Linked DNA regions of Arabidopsis thaliana. The protein of the gene in region 2 interacts with the protein of the main gene of each other region in a pairwise test. Each region holds a gene or a part of one and is shown on either strand. Other genes may lie near its edges.

Evidence for each region. Proteins that work in one complex are often made in the same cells at the same time.
Region 1: the proteins of AT1G77350 (region 2) and AT1G30080 interact in a protein complementation assay, tested with the Arabidopsis thaliana proteins (one large-scale study listed by BioGRID).
Region 3: the proteins of AT1G77350 (region 2) and NRT1.7 interact in a protein complementation assay, tested with the Arabidopsis thaliana proteins (one large-scale study listed by BioGRID).

Annotation. Positions count from the first base shown.
Region 1 is NC_003070.9:10,550,294-10,555,053, reverse strand, and holds AT1G30080 (Glycosyl hydrolase superfamily protein), read left to right. Parts: upstream 1-1,758; 5' UTR 1,759-1,886; coding exon 1,887-1,959; intron 1,960-2,075; coding exon 2,076-2,418; intron 2,419-2,590; coding exon 2,591-3,314; coding exon of another isoform or gene 3,315-3,332; exon of another isoform or gene 3,333-3,736; coding exon 3,737-3,823; 3' UTR 3,824-4,199; downstream 4,200-4,760.
Region 2 is NC_003070.9:29,068,201-29,072,399, forward strand, and holds AT1G77350 (keratinocyte-associated-like protein), read left to right. Parts: upstream 1-2,024; 5' UTR 2,025-2,163; intron 2,164-2,281; 5' UTR 2,282-2,296; coding exon 2,297-2,455; intron 2,456-2,623; coding exon 2,624-2,675; intron 2,676-3,069; coding exon 3,070-3,136; intron 3,137-3,254; coding exon 3,255-3,345; 3' UTR 3,346-3,699; downstream 3,700-4,199. Other genes in the region: AT1G77340 (Pentatricopeptide repeat (PPR) superfamily protein), read right to left, coding at 420-1,628; APPR6 (Tetratricopeptide repeat (TPR)-like superfamily protein), read right to left, coding at 3,783-4,199.
Region 3 is NC_003070.9:26,313,588-26,320,794, forward strand, and holds NRT1.7 (nitrate transporter 1.7), read left to right. Parts: upstream 1-2,199; 5' UTR 2,200-2,620; coding exon 2,621-2,807; intron 2,808-3,372; coding exon 3,373-3,590; intron 3,591-4,931; coding exon 4,932-5,497; intron 5,498-5,618; coding exon 5,619-6,510; 3' UTR 6,511-6,646; downstream 6,647-7,207. UniProt on the Arabidopsis thaliana protein: Low-affinity proton-dependent nitrate transporter. Not involved in dipeptides transport, but has a weak glucosinolate transport activity. Involved in phloem loading and nitrate remobilization from the older leaves to other tissues.

The DNA of each region.
Region 1 (4,760 bases), about 19 Mb from region 2:
TAATATATTTGAAATTTTCAGAAATTAATCAATATCCGATATACAGTATAACCTCTATTTGGGACTGCAAAATTTTATTAATTTAGAGAGGTATTAATTTATTGATAAATTAATATTTATTAATTTATAGAGAGATTTTCTTAATTTGGTAACTTTTTAAAAAAATTTATAAGATTTTTTTCATTATAAAAAATATATTTCTAGAACCAGTTACAAATAAAACATAATAATAATGTCTAGAAAACATTATTAAACAAATAACAAAAGTTTTGGTATAGTAAAATATGAAAACTATAATCAAACAAATAACAAATATGAATTTAAACAAAAAATTATTATAAATATATTTTAAAGAAATTTTTTACATATAATATATATATATAGTTGATATATTTATACAATTATTAATTTATGATATCGATGAGACCATATATTTACATAGAACTTTCCAAAAAATTATTATCTTATTAATTTATCGATTTGTGTCATTTTTTACACTAGTCCCAACTCGGGACCGGAAGAATTTATTAATTTATAAAGGTTATTAATTTATAGAGGTTATACTGTAGTAAGAAGTCCGTTCTATAAGAAAAGTAACAACCCAAACTTCCAAAAATCTGTACAAAATGAAGTTGAATTACAATTATCACCTGGTGTATAGTTAGAGCTTTTATTGTTTTAATATCAAACTGAAAGAAAAAAAAAATTGTTTCAGACAACTAAATTATTGGCTAGGGCCAATTAGGCTGTAAATTTACATATCAACTTTGATTAACTTTTCTTTTTGTAAACTTGTTTAAAACCGTTTTTTTCCATTGATTGATTAATCGAGTAATTAATTTATTTTATTTCATCTAAAACATAAATAATGAACCGTTGTGCAACCTAATTTTTTTTGTGATCGAGCGGGTTGACTAGATGAGTTAGGTTGAATTTAGAAATATTTACTTTTACATGTAAGCTAACGGTATATAAATTCTGAATTGAAACGTAGGATCAGTTTTAAATATGCGACTAAACTCCGTTGAATATCAAATATAGGATTAACTGAGGGTCATACTATAATTTCACGTGAAATACAATTCTAACAATCGTTACAATGTTTTTTAAAAGAGCTTTTATTTCACAAGATGCAAATTGCAATACTATATAAATATAATAAACTGAAGATAAGCGCACTATCCTTCTTATCATTATGATGGTGTGATTTCTACTCTTTACGTTCCATTTTTTTGGTTCACCCAACTACCAAATTTGGGATCCTCCAAATTCTATGCCAAAGACATAATGTTTTTTTTTTCTTTGTGTTTAATAGACATATTGTTAAGATTAAAAACCTATTATAGTGGGCAATTCAATTTTTCCCACCTTTGCCTTTGTCTGAAGAAAGTGTCTTCTTTTAGGCCACTTTTTCATTTTTTTTTTTTTTTGGACTGACATAGTTGGCAATGTGTTGGAAAGAGACAATCTAAGATGTCATATTTTTTTCTTCTTGGGTCCAAAATGTTTTATGAAACCCATGTTGCCTCACAAAGAATGTTTTTGGCAAACACTATCTATTTTTACAATAGACTTCCATAAGATAAACCTATTGCCAAACCTACTCCCATTACAAAACTAACGAGTATAAATTTAAATAACTTATTGAATTATTTTTGGAATTAATCATATTGTCACTTTTATTGTAGAAACCCTATGTCTCACCATAAAACAAAGGCAGGCAAAGTAAAGTATTATCTCTAAATTATAAATTAATAATTATTCGTCGCCTACTTGGTCCCATTTCTCAATTCTTCATCTCTATATCTATCCCCACATTTCATTGCATTGATTCTCTTACAAGCACTTTCTCCCTCAGTCTTTATCTCCCTCTTTCTCTCTTCTCCATGTCTAACATGTTTAGCAGAATTGCCATGACCAACTCTATCGTTCTTCTTCTATTTTCCTTGACTTTCTTAGGTATCGTTTTTGAATAATTGCTTATTTCTGTCTACCAACAAACAAAATTCATTATCTCAATTTCAGTTTGTCATTACACTTTAATTATTTAAATTTCTCTTACATTTTTTTCACAGAACATGGATTGTTGTTTCAAAGGGTCTCCTCTCTTGGCATCAACTATGGTCAAGTCGGCGACAATCTTCCTCCACCGGACAAAGTTCTACAACTCTTGAGTTCACTCCATATCAATAAGACAAGAATCTATGACACAAACCCTCGAGTGTTAACCTCATTTGCCAATTCCAATATCGAGCTCTTTGTCACCGTCGAAAATGAAATGCTTCCCAGCTTAGTAGACCCTCAACAAGCTCTCCAATGGGTCACTACCCGTATCAAACCCTACTTTCCGGCCACCAAGATCGGTGGTATCGCCGTCGGCAACGAACTATACACTGACGATGACTCAAGCCTTATAGGGTTTGTTACATACATCCCCTCATTCCTATAAATTGTTATCCTTTTCAAATCTTGGTCCATTACAAATATGCCCTACTAACCAAATCATGGTAGTCATGTGGGTATCATCCTGAGATCCTCTAGTTCAAAAAAAGAAGAAAGTATTCAACCTCGTTATTGCTATGATTCGCAGGTATCTTATGCCTGCAATGATGAGCATTCATGGGGCTTTGGTCCAAACCGGACTAGACAAGTACATTCAAGTATCGACTCCGAACTCACTATCCGTCCTTCAAGAATCTTACCCTCCATCCGCCGGATGTTTTAGGCCGGAAGTAGCTGGCGTAATGACACAGCTACTAGGTTTCTTGCGTAACACGAATTCCCCCTTCTGGATCAACGCTTACCCTTACTTCGCTTACAAGGATTCCCCAACAAAGATCCCATTAGACTACGTCCTCTTCAACCCTAACCCTGGAATGGTTGACCCCTATACCAAGTACCGCTATGACAACATGCTCTACGCTCAAGTAGACGCTGTGATCTTTGCCATGGCGAGGCTTGGCTTCAAAGACATCGAAGTTGGGGTCTCGGAGACTGGATGGCCGTCTAAAGGCGATGGAGATGAGGTTGGAGCCACTGTGGCCAACGCAGCCGTTTATAACAAAAATATTCTAAGGAGACAACTTCAAAATGAAGGAACGCCATTGAGACCAAACTTGAGTTTTGATGTTTATCTATTTGCTCTTTTCAATGAAGACCTTAAACCAGGACCAACCTCTGAGAGGAATTATGGATTGTATCAGCCTGATGAGACCATGACTTACAATGTAGGTTTATTATCGTCGTCATCATTAACATCAACATCAACTACTTCTTCAACTTCTATTATTTCCCTCACTTCCTCTGCCTCCACGGTATGTATCAACATTTAACTTTACTTGCTCTGTTTCTACTAGATCTCTTACTTCCATATTTCTTTCTTTTTAATCTTTATATAGCACATTAAATCCCTTGAAAAAAGCTTTGATTGAGAAACATTTTTAAAACAAATTCTGACCTGTTGTCTAAAAAAGAAGAGAATTGTGACGTTTCTTTCTTCTAATTGTGACGTTTTATACTTGAAAAGTTCGGCTTTTCTAGAACATATTCTTACCAAACATATTTATTTTAACATATTTCTTGATTAATAGCGATAAAGTATACATTTTTTTTGGAGCGATATGATTAGTACATGATATTTATGATTATCCTCACCATCTGATTTTTAGATACATATTAGTTAATTAAAAATTTGCGGTCTTAATTATTGCTTATTATGATATTTTAATTTAAACAGGCTTTAAAGAAGGGAAAGCAACGGTTGATGTATTGGACATGCGTTTATTTGTTGGCCATTCACATGCTAATTAGAAGATCGTACTAGAAGCAAAAACAAATTGAGAGAGCTTCTAAGTGTAAATAGAGAGTCCACTAATGCGGTCCAATTTTTCAACGAGAAGAATTAAATTATTCTCGAAAGTGTCTCAGATGATTCTTTAAAAGGGGAAAAAAACACTCAGAAAAATTGAGAAGGGAATGCAGTACTGCAAAGCGAATCCTATGTATAAAAAACTGACGATTCATATTATAGAACTTTATTTGTATTTGTCTTACTAACGTGTTAATTACTTTCGTTGTCTAAATAAAAAGTGACTAAAATTAATCATCAACTGATAAGGTATACAATAATGATTCGTATACAATAATGATTCATGAATCATATAAGAACGATCGTGTTTATTGTTTAAATCCAAAGGATACAATTTCATTTGAGGCATTTTAGTAACCACATTCATTGCATAATTTCATTTAAAATGTTTGATTTCACATTATGTACTACATATGAATCATATTTCAGAAAGCTAAAGAAATTACTCTAGATATAAAGAAGACCCCATATAGTACTACTTTTACGAGAAGCATAGAATATAATAATAATTATTACTAAGCAGAAAATATTGTCATTTTCAACGCTCCAAATATTACTTTAAAGTACATGATATATAATGTTATCATCAGATATCGTTTAACAGAAACAGAAAAAAAGAAAGATGATATCATATATTTTATATAGAAATTTATTGATTGGTCACACCGAAGGTGAAGGCTCTTTTATCTTTTACCTTTTATCTTTTGGACGTGGAATCCATAAACCTTAGACATACGATACCTTCCTTTTCCATCTCACCGTCAACATTCGATATTTTAATATATTGTCTGCTCTTACACATGCATGCATTATATCTGCATGTATATGTGGTATGGCTTCGTACGTGCACACACATGACACTACTCATACATGCATACATGACACATCTTAC
Region 2 (4,199 bases):
TATAACCAATCAGAGTGACTAAAGTGGTTGGTAAAATGTAATCAATCTTTCCCTTGAAGACCTTTACTAAGCATCGATCGTGTATGAGAGCTAAATTTGCAGCCACTTTTTTCCATTACTTGGAACAACTCACAAAACCCCTCTACAAAGCCCTGTTTAAGCACACCATCAATGAGGATTTTCCAAGCGATTTCATCATCGCAATATCCACATCGAAGCAGTTTTTCGAAAACCGAGTTGACTCTCTCTTTTTCTCCTTCTTCACACAGCTTGCAAATCAACATTTTGCAAAACTCTAGTTGTGGTGAATGACCATTACATATCATATCTTCCACAACTTTTGCAGCTTCCTCATACTTTTGCAGCTTGTAGTAACATCTAAGAAGACCATTACAAATCTTCTCACTTAACGATATTCCTCATACTGTACGCTGGTTTGGAACCAATCCACTTTCTTCCATCAAACTAAGCAATCTATATGCACTATCTAAATTACCAGAGCTACACTGTCCAGCGATCAATGTATTATAAGTTATCAAGTCTGGAACCAAATTCTGCTCTAGCATCTTACTAAGCAGTCCCATTGCTTTGTGCACATTCTTCTTACAAAAACCTTTGATCAATGCATTGTATGTAATAACATTTGGCATCAACCCATTCTCCAACATATGTTCTAGCAATCCACTTGCTTCATCAAGTGTATCTCCACTACAAAAACTCTGAATAAGCACAGTATACATACAATCATCAGGCTTAATGCCACTCTCTGACATCTGCTTAAACAAATTCATAGCTTCTGACTTCTGTCCTGATCCACACAAAGCATCTATAAGCACTGTGTATGTTCGAACATTAGGACAACAATTGTCATCTTTCATTTTCACCAATAAGCTCAAAGCTTCATCGATCTTCTTTGCTTCAAATAGACCATATATAAGCTGAGTGTAAGAAACCTCATTTCTATGGCAACCGTTCTGAGTCATCTCCTTAAAAACCTTAAAAGCCGCATCGACTTCTTTTCTTCGACAATGTCCGGTAATAAAAGAAGTATATGTGAAATAATCAGGATCACATCCAGCTTGAATAAGCCAAGTCACATACTGCTTTGCTTCTACTACATATCCAAGCTTACAATACCCATTAACCAATGTGTTAAACGTGTATATGTCTGGAGAAACCAAATCCTCCAACATTTCAGTATAAAGTCTCTTCATTTCTTCGACTAATCCAAATCTAGCTAATGAACTCAACAGATTATTGTAGCATTTAGGAGTAAGTTTATATTTAATCTCGAAGCTATCACCTTTACGCATTGTCCTACAGAAATCAACAACAAACAAAGCGTCTCGCACTGAATTGCAGCTCTTTATCATTAAGATCGTGATCTTAGGCACCTCATAAGGTATTTCCTGGCTGCAGAGAAGAGTAACCAAAGACGCGTATGAAGTAACGTTGTGCTTGAAGTTTGGTATCCGAGAGATCCAATCCGAGAAACTGAGAGCTGTCTGAGGATCAAGATTGAGTGAAAACAGAGAAGAGACATGAGAAGGTGTATAGAAGGGGTAAGAGATTTTAGAGATGGATTGTTCTGCCAATTTGGTTCGGAGACAATTGAGAGTAATCGGCATGGAAGATTAGAGGGGTTAGACTCTGCTGTTGAGATAGTACTTGTAACTTTGTAAGCAGAGATGCGGCGGTGGATAATGGCCTTCGACGGAGAAGGTAGCCGGAAGAAGTAGAAGGAGATTTGGAAGTAGTAATCTCATCGTCGGTTGATTCGACGGTAAGTTGTACTTCCAGTTCAAGCAACAGTAGGGTTTAGGGTTTATGAATCAGTGAATGCAAGCAAAACCTCAAACCCGGTACAATGCTACGTTTGGTATTCTGCATTGGTTTATTAATTAAACCCAAACTCAAGTGGCATGTACAATACTACGTCAGTTGTTTGTATAAAACGACAGCGTTTGAAACCGCGACTGGTCCGTCAGGGTATATATGTAATATATACGATAAACATGTATTTTATGGTCAATGCGAATTCCCAATTTTCCCATTTCTTAAAATCTCTTCTCGATCTCCTTTGTTTCCGATTTGCCGGTCTTCGAAGTGGAACTGTGGCAGTGACGAGCGTGAGGAGAAGATCTGATCTTTAGGGCTTTCAAGGTAACTCATCACATTCTTCTATCTGTTGATTTCTCGTTTTCCGACCAGTGGATCAATCGATCAGTTTTGTACGAATTCGTGTCTGATTATCTGTTACGGTCTTAATTTGATTGTTTAGTTTGGATTTAGAAGCATGGCAGGAGCTGTTGGAACATCAATGTTAGGGTCTCTTATTGTGTTTACAGTGATCCTCTCGCTTCAGGAAATTTACAGAGGAAAATTAGCTTCTTCAGAGCTGTTCACGATCCTTGGTGGATTCACAAGCTCTCTCCTCTTTTTGTTTTCTCTCACTGTAAGTTCCTTAGAATTCCTCAACTTGATCTCGTCTTCATGGAAATGCACTACCTTTACAACTCCAATGTTGATCTGTGTCGTTAAATTTGAGATCTTTTGTTTTCTTCTCGAATTCATCTACATTTGTTGTTGACAGTTTGGTTGATGCGGTTTCTTTTACTTTCAGTTCATTGGAAATTTTCAGGAATCTTCTGGCATCAAGAGTGGTTGGGGTGCAGGTATGTCCTTGCTTCTTCATGAAATCAAATTTGTTCATACGATCAAAACCATTGGGTGTCTACTCTACCCCATTTTGTCTTCCACTTCAGAAGTTTGAGGGCTTAAGAGTGGAATTTTTGAATCTTTGATGATGATGCTCTAAGTTTACTTTCTGATAACATATTACGAAAACTCTTACTTTTATGTGTTACAAATACTCTTTTAGTGAATCAGTTGTTGGAACCAAATTTTTTTCATTCTTATGTCTTTTTCTGTATCACCTATATAAGAATCACAGTGATAAATGGCTCGAATTTGTTTGCCCCCTCCTGCTTCTGCTGTGTGAAAGTGGGTATACTCATTACTCAACAAGGGTTTGCAATGTATTGAAGCCAATTTTTGTTTCCATGGCAGTCATTCTTGCAGAAATCATAGCTCTTATCGCTGCTGGCACGGTTCATCGGGTTTGTATCACAACCTGGTAAGTGGAAATTCACTAGTTCTACTTGGTATATCCATTTACCCTGTTTAATTACTTCATTCCTCTCTTGCTAAAAGCGGTGTGGTGATTGTGATGCTGTTTCTTGATCTGCCTGCAGTTTCCTGTTCTCTGCTGGGCTATTGTACGAGGTGAACAAGATCTCTGGATACATGCTATCCAAAACCGAGTCAAAGTCTAAGAGACACTGAACCTGATAATGGAATTGATACGGCTTATTATTCTGGACTTAGATTTGTTTGGCACTTGAAGATGCAAAAACACTTTCAACATCATGAATTGTGATACTTAGAAACCCTAAATTCAAAATCCACATCTTATGCTTGATGTGAGTATTAGGTCTGTTTCCTTTGCAGCTTATAATCATAGAGATAATCATTTTAGTTGTGTCTTATGTTCTTGGAGAAACTGAATTGTGTCTTTTGGCCTCGACATCGTATCATCCGCAACCAGACACATCAAATGGTTTGTATCATCTATATTTTAATATCTCATGTATCGAAACCGCAACAATTGCTGATTCCAATTTAAATTACAACTTTACCAAGGTAAATGGAGCCTGAGCCAAATGCTTAGGATCAGCTGTTGTTAGCGTACTAATCTGTGGTTCACAGGAAATCTAAGAAAGTCAATCACACAACGGCTCATTGACCAAAACGTTCATCTTCTCATTAAGGAACTTGAGCACATCTTCTCTCTCTTCTTTGATAAGCAGCTGTCTTAATCTACCAAACGTTACACCCGATGGTCGAATCCCCATCTCGATCATCTCCTCTAACAAAACACAAGCTTTCTGAGTGGTACGCTCCTCGCACAACCCATTAATAAGAACCGAGAATGTATGCATACTAGGGAACACCCCTTTCTTCCTCATGTATTTCCACACTTTATCCGCTGTCTCCATCTCTTTCTTTTCACAAAACATCTTGATCACCATCGTGTAAGTGTCTGCATCTGGTTCACACACTTTAATCATCTTCCTAAAGACATCAAAAGCTTCGTCTTTCTCCCCTCGTTCTATTAGATGGCGTAGAATGATGTTACA
Region 3 (7,207 bases), 2.8 Mb from region 2:
AAGGTCTAATAGAATCTTTAATGTTGTAATGTGTCTTAGACTTAAATGAATTCATTACTTGAAGACATGTATTCCACGCTGAAAACACAATTCTTTTGAATATAGTTTTATGATATAATCATGAAAACCTATATTTAGATTTGCTTAGGACTCTAAATATATCACAATGGATACGATCTTGAAATCCCACTTATTTCATCTAACTCCCCAAAAAAAGAAAAAAAAGATGAATTTGTTATGCACAACTGGATTATAAAAAATCGACTTTTATATCAAAAACCTGAATTCAATCTAACAGTATATACTACAAAAAAATGATCAAATGTTTATATATGTAGGTGCAAATATTTTCCTATAACATACTTGAGATAGTAACTTAAGAAATGATTAATAATTATGTTTCTTTCAGCAGGGTCAAAAATGTATTCCCACATTTAACATGCTTTAGTAAGTAATTATGGTATACTTTATAAGAGGATATTATATAAATATCTCTTAGTATAACCATATGAAGTCGGTAGATATGATCCTCTCAAATACAAAATAGAAAAAGTGAGCTTTCTAAGAGTTGGAGTTATCTATCAAACTCCATATACATTTTTCGTTATTCGATCATGACCATTAAAATGCATATGTTTGATAGTGACCCGCACCACACAGCTCAGCATATTGAGACAGATTAGTAAAAGCAGTCCAAACCTTAGGCACCCAGTCCACGGTTCATATCATCTGACCATTGAGAATGGTGAAGAGAGATAAGATGATCGAACGGTGTACAATAATATGACCATAAAATCGAACGGTGATACGGTATAGGATCCCACGTAAAGGTCCAAACAAAAAAAAATTAATAAAGAAGAAAAGACAAAGAGGGTTTGCGTAGAAATTTGATGGCTCGCGCATGCGACAGTGTTAGGCACTTGCATTTGCCTAAAAGGCGATAAAAGCCTACCTCATCTTATCGTATTTCTCTTTCTGTTTCTGTCTTCACTCACCGATTTTTATGTTTGTGTTCAATTTGAATTTTACAAGTTTGGTTGGACTTAATCTTTCCTTTAACATAAACATTCAATGATAATTTTATTATTAATGTTCATTTCTTGTGAAGATTTTCATTGTTTCTATATATAATATATATTTTACATTGAGAAAAAAAAATGATGCGAATTGTTTTGAAGTTGAAGTGGTTGATTAATATTTTTTTCTACAATAAATCAATGAAAATTTAGAATTGAAAAATATCTAGACATGGAATTTCTCAACTCAACATCTAGATAAACATATGTACCACACATTCGAGCAATCGTATAAAATTATATACGAATAAATAGAATTAGTTTCTTTCTCGGAAATTCTGTTAATATTTTTAGGAGGATTAAGTGGGTTCGAAATTTAATCACTTCCTGCACAAATTCATCTCAATGTATTAATTGGTGATATGTCATTTTTTTATTTTATTTTTTGGTATGAGCTTCCAAAGTTTTAAGGCCAGCTCTATATGTGTACTATTGTTTCTAACTTTATTATATTAAATTTTGGTGATATGTGTTTCTTTGTTTGATTGCAACCCAAAATAGTTTAAGGTTCATCTTAGAGTGCGATGACTTTTTGTGCAAAAATATTAGATCATGTTGGTATGTACGTTTTGAGTTTTATTTATTTGTTTACCAATTGAACGACTCTCAACAAGCAATTGTATGCCAAGATGACATATTGGACGTTTCAAGTGTGTGAATTGTATAAAGCAGTAAATAAAATCTACTCTTATTAACTAGTTTGAAAGAGAGTTTTAACTTCGAAGAATCTATCGCCATGAGTCAAAATCGTATAAATGTGACAAATGTTTATCTCTATCAATAATAGTAAAAATTTTAAAAGGTTCTATATAAATTTTAAGATTTTGTCAGGATCATTAAAGTGTAGAACTAAGTCAACTGATTGATTAATAGAAAAAATCGATACAATCTCACTTCCTTTAAGAAAATAAAAATAAAATATGCTTTAGAGAAAATAAAATCTCGCTTATTTATGAGATATCATATCATTTTTAGGTAAAAAAGATTAGATGTCCTTTTGAGACACATCATACCATATATATGACCGACAACACACATAAAACCGCGTGAACAAAAAATATCATCCATCAACCCCTTACGATGCAAATGTACTGTAAAAGATGGTTCATTAATTTAACATCGTATTTTAACGTTACAATTGTATGGAACATGGAAGGTTCACAATACGTGGAACAAAACAATAATGTTACGTACGGTGTAAGAAAAACAAAAAAAACATAGCACTAAAATAGTTTTCTTTTAATTTTCCTCTTCAAACTTCTCACGTGGAGGCTACTAGTGGCGAACGTCATTCAAATTTACCCACACCCACCATATATTATCTACTCACTCCCTTATATATACACACTTCCACAAATAATTCACTACACCCAAAAAAGCTTCTAACAAAGAGAAAGTGTCTGTATGTTGTGCCCACTCTCTACATTTATCAATCACTTCATGTGTGTTACCTTGATTGCAAAAAAGTGAGAATATATTCTCACAACATTAAATCCACCCCGAAATCGAAGTGAGTATATCACGAGTGTAGTAATATCTTAGAGATGGTTTTGGAGGATAGAAAGGACGGTTCTTCTTTGCCGGGACGATCCGGTAGTTTCTCTAAATCGTCACCGTCGGAGTTGGATGTTGTTGATCCCTACAAGCGGATAAGTTCGCCGGGATCTATATTGGATGCTGAGAAGGTAGAGAAAAAGCCTGGAGGATGGAGAGCCGTCTCGTTCATTTTAGGTATTTTAATTTTATTTTTAGGCTTCGTGTACATAATTTAGTTTACCTAATCCTTGACCTTTCCTCAGTTATTGGCTAATATTTTTTTGTTAATTTCCTTAATTGGATATATAGTTCTAGAAACCAGTTAATATATTATCATTGGGAGATGTAACGGGCCGTTGCAAGATCACGTTCTGCCTAAATCATTGCACATAATAGTCAGAACAAAAGAAATGAGCGCATAATCTTTTCAGCTCGATCAAAAATTATATTATATATTACTCTCGTAACCGTCGGTCCAACATGTTTGACACTCGTCTAGCTGACGACTTTATAACTGAAATGGAATAAAAATTTGTCATCATAAGTGCTCTTTTAGCCAAAATGTTAACTTTCATTTTAAATTATTTTATACTTTTAAATTTTTATAATATTTTATTTCTCTCTATTTAATGGAATATGATTAATTTTGTTAGTGATGATAATTACTAGATAAAATGGAGTATAATTGATATTCTTCAATAGAGGGATTATTTGTCGATTTATTTGCTGATAATATTTTGTAATAAAATGGGTTGAATAGGAAATGAGACGCTGGAGAGACTGGGATCGATAGGATTGTTGGCAAACTTCATGGTTTATCTAACCAAAGTGTTTCACTTAGAACAAGTCGACGCTGCAAATGTCATCAACATTTGGTCAGGTTTCACCAATCTCACTCCTCTCGTCGGAGCGTATATCTCAGACACTTATGTTGGCCGCTTCAAGACCATCGCTTTCGCCTCATTCGCCACTCTCCTCGTACGTATAATATTTTTTTATTTAACTTATTGAAAATTTTATATAATCTTTTTAAAAAACTAAAATAAAAATAAATAATCTAATGTGTCTACAAATACACAACATTTACGTACGTAGTAGTATTTACTTTATATGTTCCTAACACCTCAAATCCGCAACTATTCGCGGCCTACTGCCAGCATGGGTCAGTGCTTTAGCGTCCACTGTTCGAATAGTTGCATCCAACAAAAAACATAACAACTCTAAATAGAAAGTTCTATATTACTACTCAATTTACGTGTTTTTTTGTGTGTGTGGCGACGATACATGATACTTGGCACATAATTTCACCCCGCACGTGGACATGATAAGAAAATACGTATAGACAAATTAAATTAAGTATATATATATGTAAATGACAAAGTATTAACACTTTATATATTATTTTATACCTATTATGTTACTCTCTTTTTTTCTATATCAAAAGCTATTAAATTACTTTTGTATCGTACGAAAACGCATGAACTTATTGAGGGACCACGCTATCGAGGACGATAAGGTCGGTCAATAATGTGAATCATAAGAACAAAAGCATTAGTTAGTACACTTATTCTTGTCGGTATTTACCTTGAAAATTTATATAACATCCAAAAAAAATGGTAAGAAAATACTTATCTCACGTAAACATCTTTTGTTCATTGATGAAACATTTTCCAATAAAGGAGTTACGTATTAGAACGTGTTCTGTTTAAGAGATAAAGAGATGTGCGTAGAAAAGGAAGAGATACGCAAGTGGTCAATATAGATTATTGACAATGAGATTGTCCAATAATTGAGTGTTTGAGTTTCTTGATGATTTAGCTAGCTAGTTGGGTTTTAGATTTGGTCAGTATCACAGTGACGTTACGTATATAATAATAGTTACTTTTCTAGTGTCTGTTTCATTCACAATTATAGAATTATGATCGCATCCAACTTGTTAATTTCTCTTGCACTTTTTTGTCTTTTTCGTAATTAGTTAAACGTTGAACTTAAACTGTTACAAATGCTCATATTACTATATTAGGGTTACAACAGAAATAAATGATATTAGGTTCTACGTCACTGTCACTTTCACCTAATCAAGGTAACATCACTTTTCAATCATATGAAGTCAAACCTAATTAAGACTATTGTAAACTTTATTAATTGTTTGTATTTGTTCGCATAACTTCAATCTATATATCCCACACTACTGTTTGCTTTCTTCAATATTAATTAACAATCATTCAGTTTCAAGTTATATATTATAGAATATCTAATAATGAAGAATCGGTTTCAAAATTAATAATGACTGATTATAATTACATTGACAACATGCAGGGACTAATAACAATTACACTCACAGCATCGTTTCCTCAACTCCACCCAGCATCATGCAACAGCCAGGACCCACTCAGTTGCGGCGGTCCGAATAAGCTCCAGATCGGAGTTTTGCTATTGGGACTCTGTTTCCTCTCCGTAGGGAGTGGAGGAATACGACCTTGTAGCATCCCTTTTGGGGTTGATCAGTTTGACCAACGAACTGAGGAAGGGGTTAAAGGAGTGGCCAGTTTCTTCAACTGGTATTACATGACTTTCACTGTGGTTCTGATCATTACACAGACCGTAGTTGTGTATATCCAGGATCAAGTCAGTTGGATTATCGGTTTTAGTATCCCTACCGGACTCATGGCTCTTGCGGTTGTTATGTTTTTTGCCGGAATGAAGCGTTATGTCTACGTTAAACCAGAAGGAAGTATATTCTCTGGGATCGCTCAAGTTATCGTGGCAGCTCGTAAGAAGCGAAAGCTGAAACTTCCGGCGGAAGATGACGGCACTGTCACCTATTACGACCCAGCCATCAAGTCTAGCGTGTTATCCAAGTTACACCGCAGTAACCAATTCAGGTACTTAATATATGATTTTTGTTTTTATTTTTTGCTTATCACTTTCAAGGTGGTTTTAAGACAACACTGATTACATGATTTTGTATTAACCTATAGTCTAACTGAAATGGCATAAAATTAGGTGTCTTGACAAAGCCGCGGTGGTTATAGAAGGTGACCTAACACCCGAGGGACCTCCCGCAGACAAGTGGCGGTTATGCAGCGTCCAAGAAGTGGAAGAAGTGAAGTGTTTGATCCGAATTGTTCCTATCTGGTCGGCCGGAATAATCTCACTCGCGGCCATGACAACACAAGGCACTTTCACGGTCTCTCAAGCTTTGAAAATGGATCGAAACTTAGGTCCTAAATTCGAGATTCCGGCTGGTTCACTCTCCGTCATCTCTCTCCTCACAATCGGCATCTTTCTTCCCTTCTACGACCGCGTTTTTGTACCATTCATGCGGCGAATCACCGGCCATAAATCCGGAATCACACTCCTCCAAAGGATAGGAACAGGGATCGTTTTCGCGATCTTTTCTATGATCGTTGCGGGCATTGTGGAGCGTATGAGACGCATACGCTCCATCAATGCCGGAGATCCAACGGGAATGACTCCAATGTCGGTGTTTTGGCTTTCGCCGCAGCTAATTCTCATGGGACTATGTGAAGCATTCAATATCATCGGACAAATTGAGTTCTTCAACAGTCAGTTTCCAGAGCACATGAGAAGTATCGCTAACTCTCTCTTCTCTTTATCGTTCGCCGGTTCGAGCTACCTTAGTAGTTTCCTTGTGACTGTCGTTCATAAATTCTCCGGTGGGCATGATCGTCCGGATTGGCTAAACAAGAATCTCAACGCGGGAAAATTGGATTACTTCTATTATCTGATTGCGGTTTTGGGTGTGGTTAATCTGGTTTACTTTTGGTATTGTGCTCGGGGATACCGGTACAAGGTCGGTTTACCGATTGAAGACTTTGAGGAGGACAAGTCCTCCGATGATGTTGAGATGACTTCGAAGAAATCGATGAAATGATTTAATAGACTATCCTTAGGGACAACAAGAAGATTGTCGATGTTGTTTGAATAATTACTATGACAATGTATGTATCATAATATGTAAGAACTAGAATATTTAATAAAATTTTACCTTTCATTATGTAGAAGTGTTAGATATAGTTCACAGTTTTGTCTTATTTTATAACTTTGTCATCATACTCTCTGCCTGGAATCAGAAAACCATCTCTAACAAGTATATTTAAAATCATAAAAGTAATCTAGTTAGATGGATTGCATTTGGAACTATATCATATACACTATGTTATGACTTGATAGAAATATAAACAGTATAGTTTTAATTGATCATTTCTATGGAGGATCACGTTATTAGGCATAGTTTCATCCTTTATCGATTACGGACGGTAAATGAGTACAACCCAACTAATATGTTGTAAAGAAAAGCTACTACTGCTATTACTGTTAATATTAATATTAGACTTCTTGGGTACATAAAAAAAAAAAAAATATATATATATATATATATCATATTAGACTTCTAGAACACCAAGTCCAAAACATATTTGGCATGAAGCAAAAATATCTACTGCTTTATTTTGTGTCTACCTCTTTGCCACATGCTGTATATTCCATCATTCATTTAACCTACAATTGAATTCCGTTTTAACGTTTATTCACTCAATTAATATATTGGGGTTTGACAAAAATAAATAACT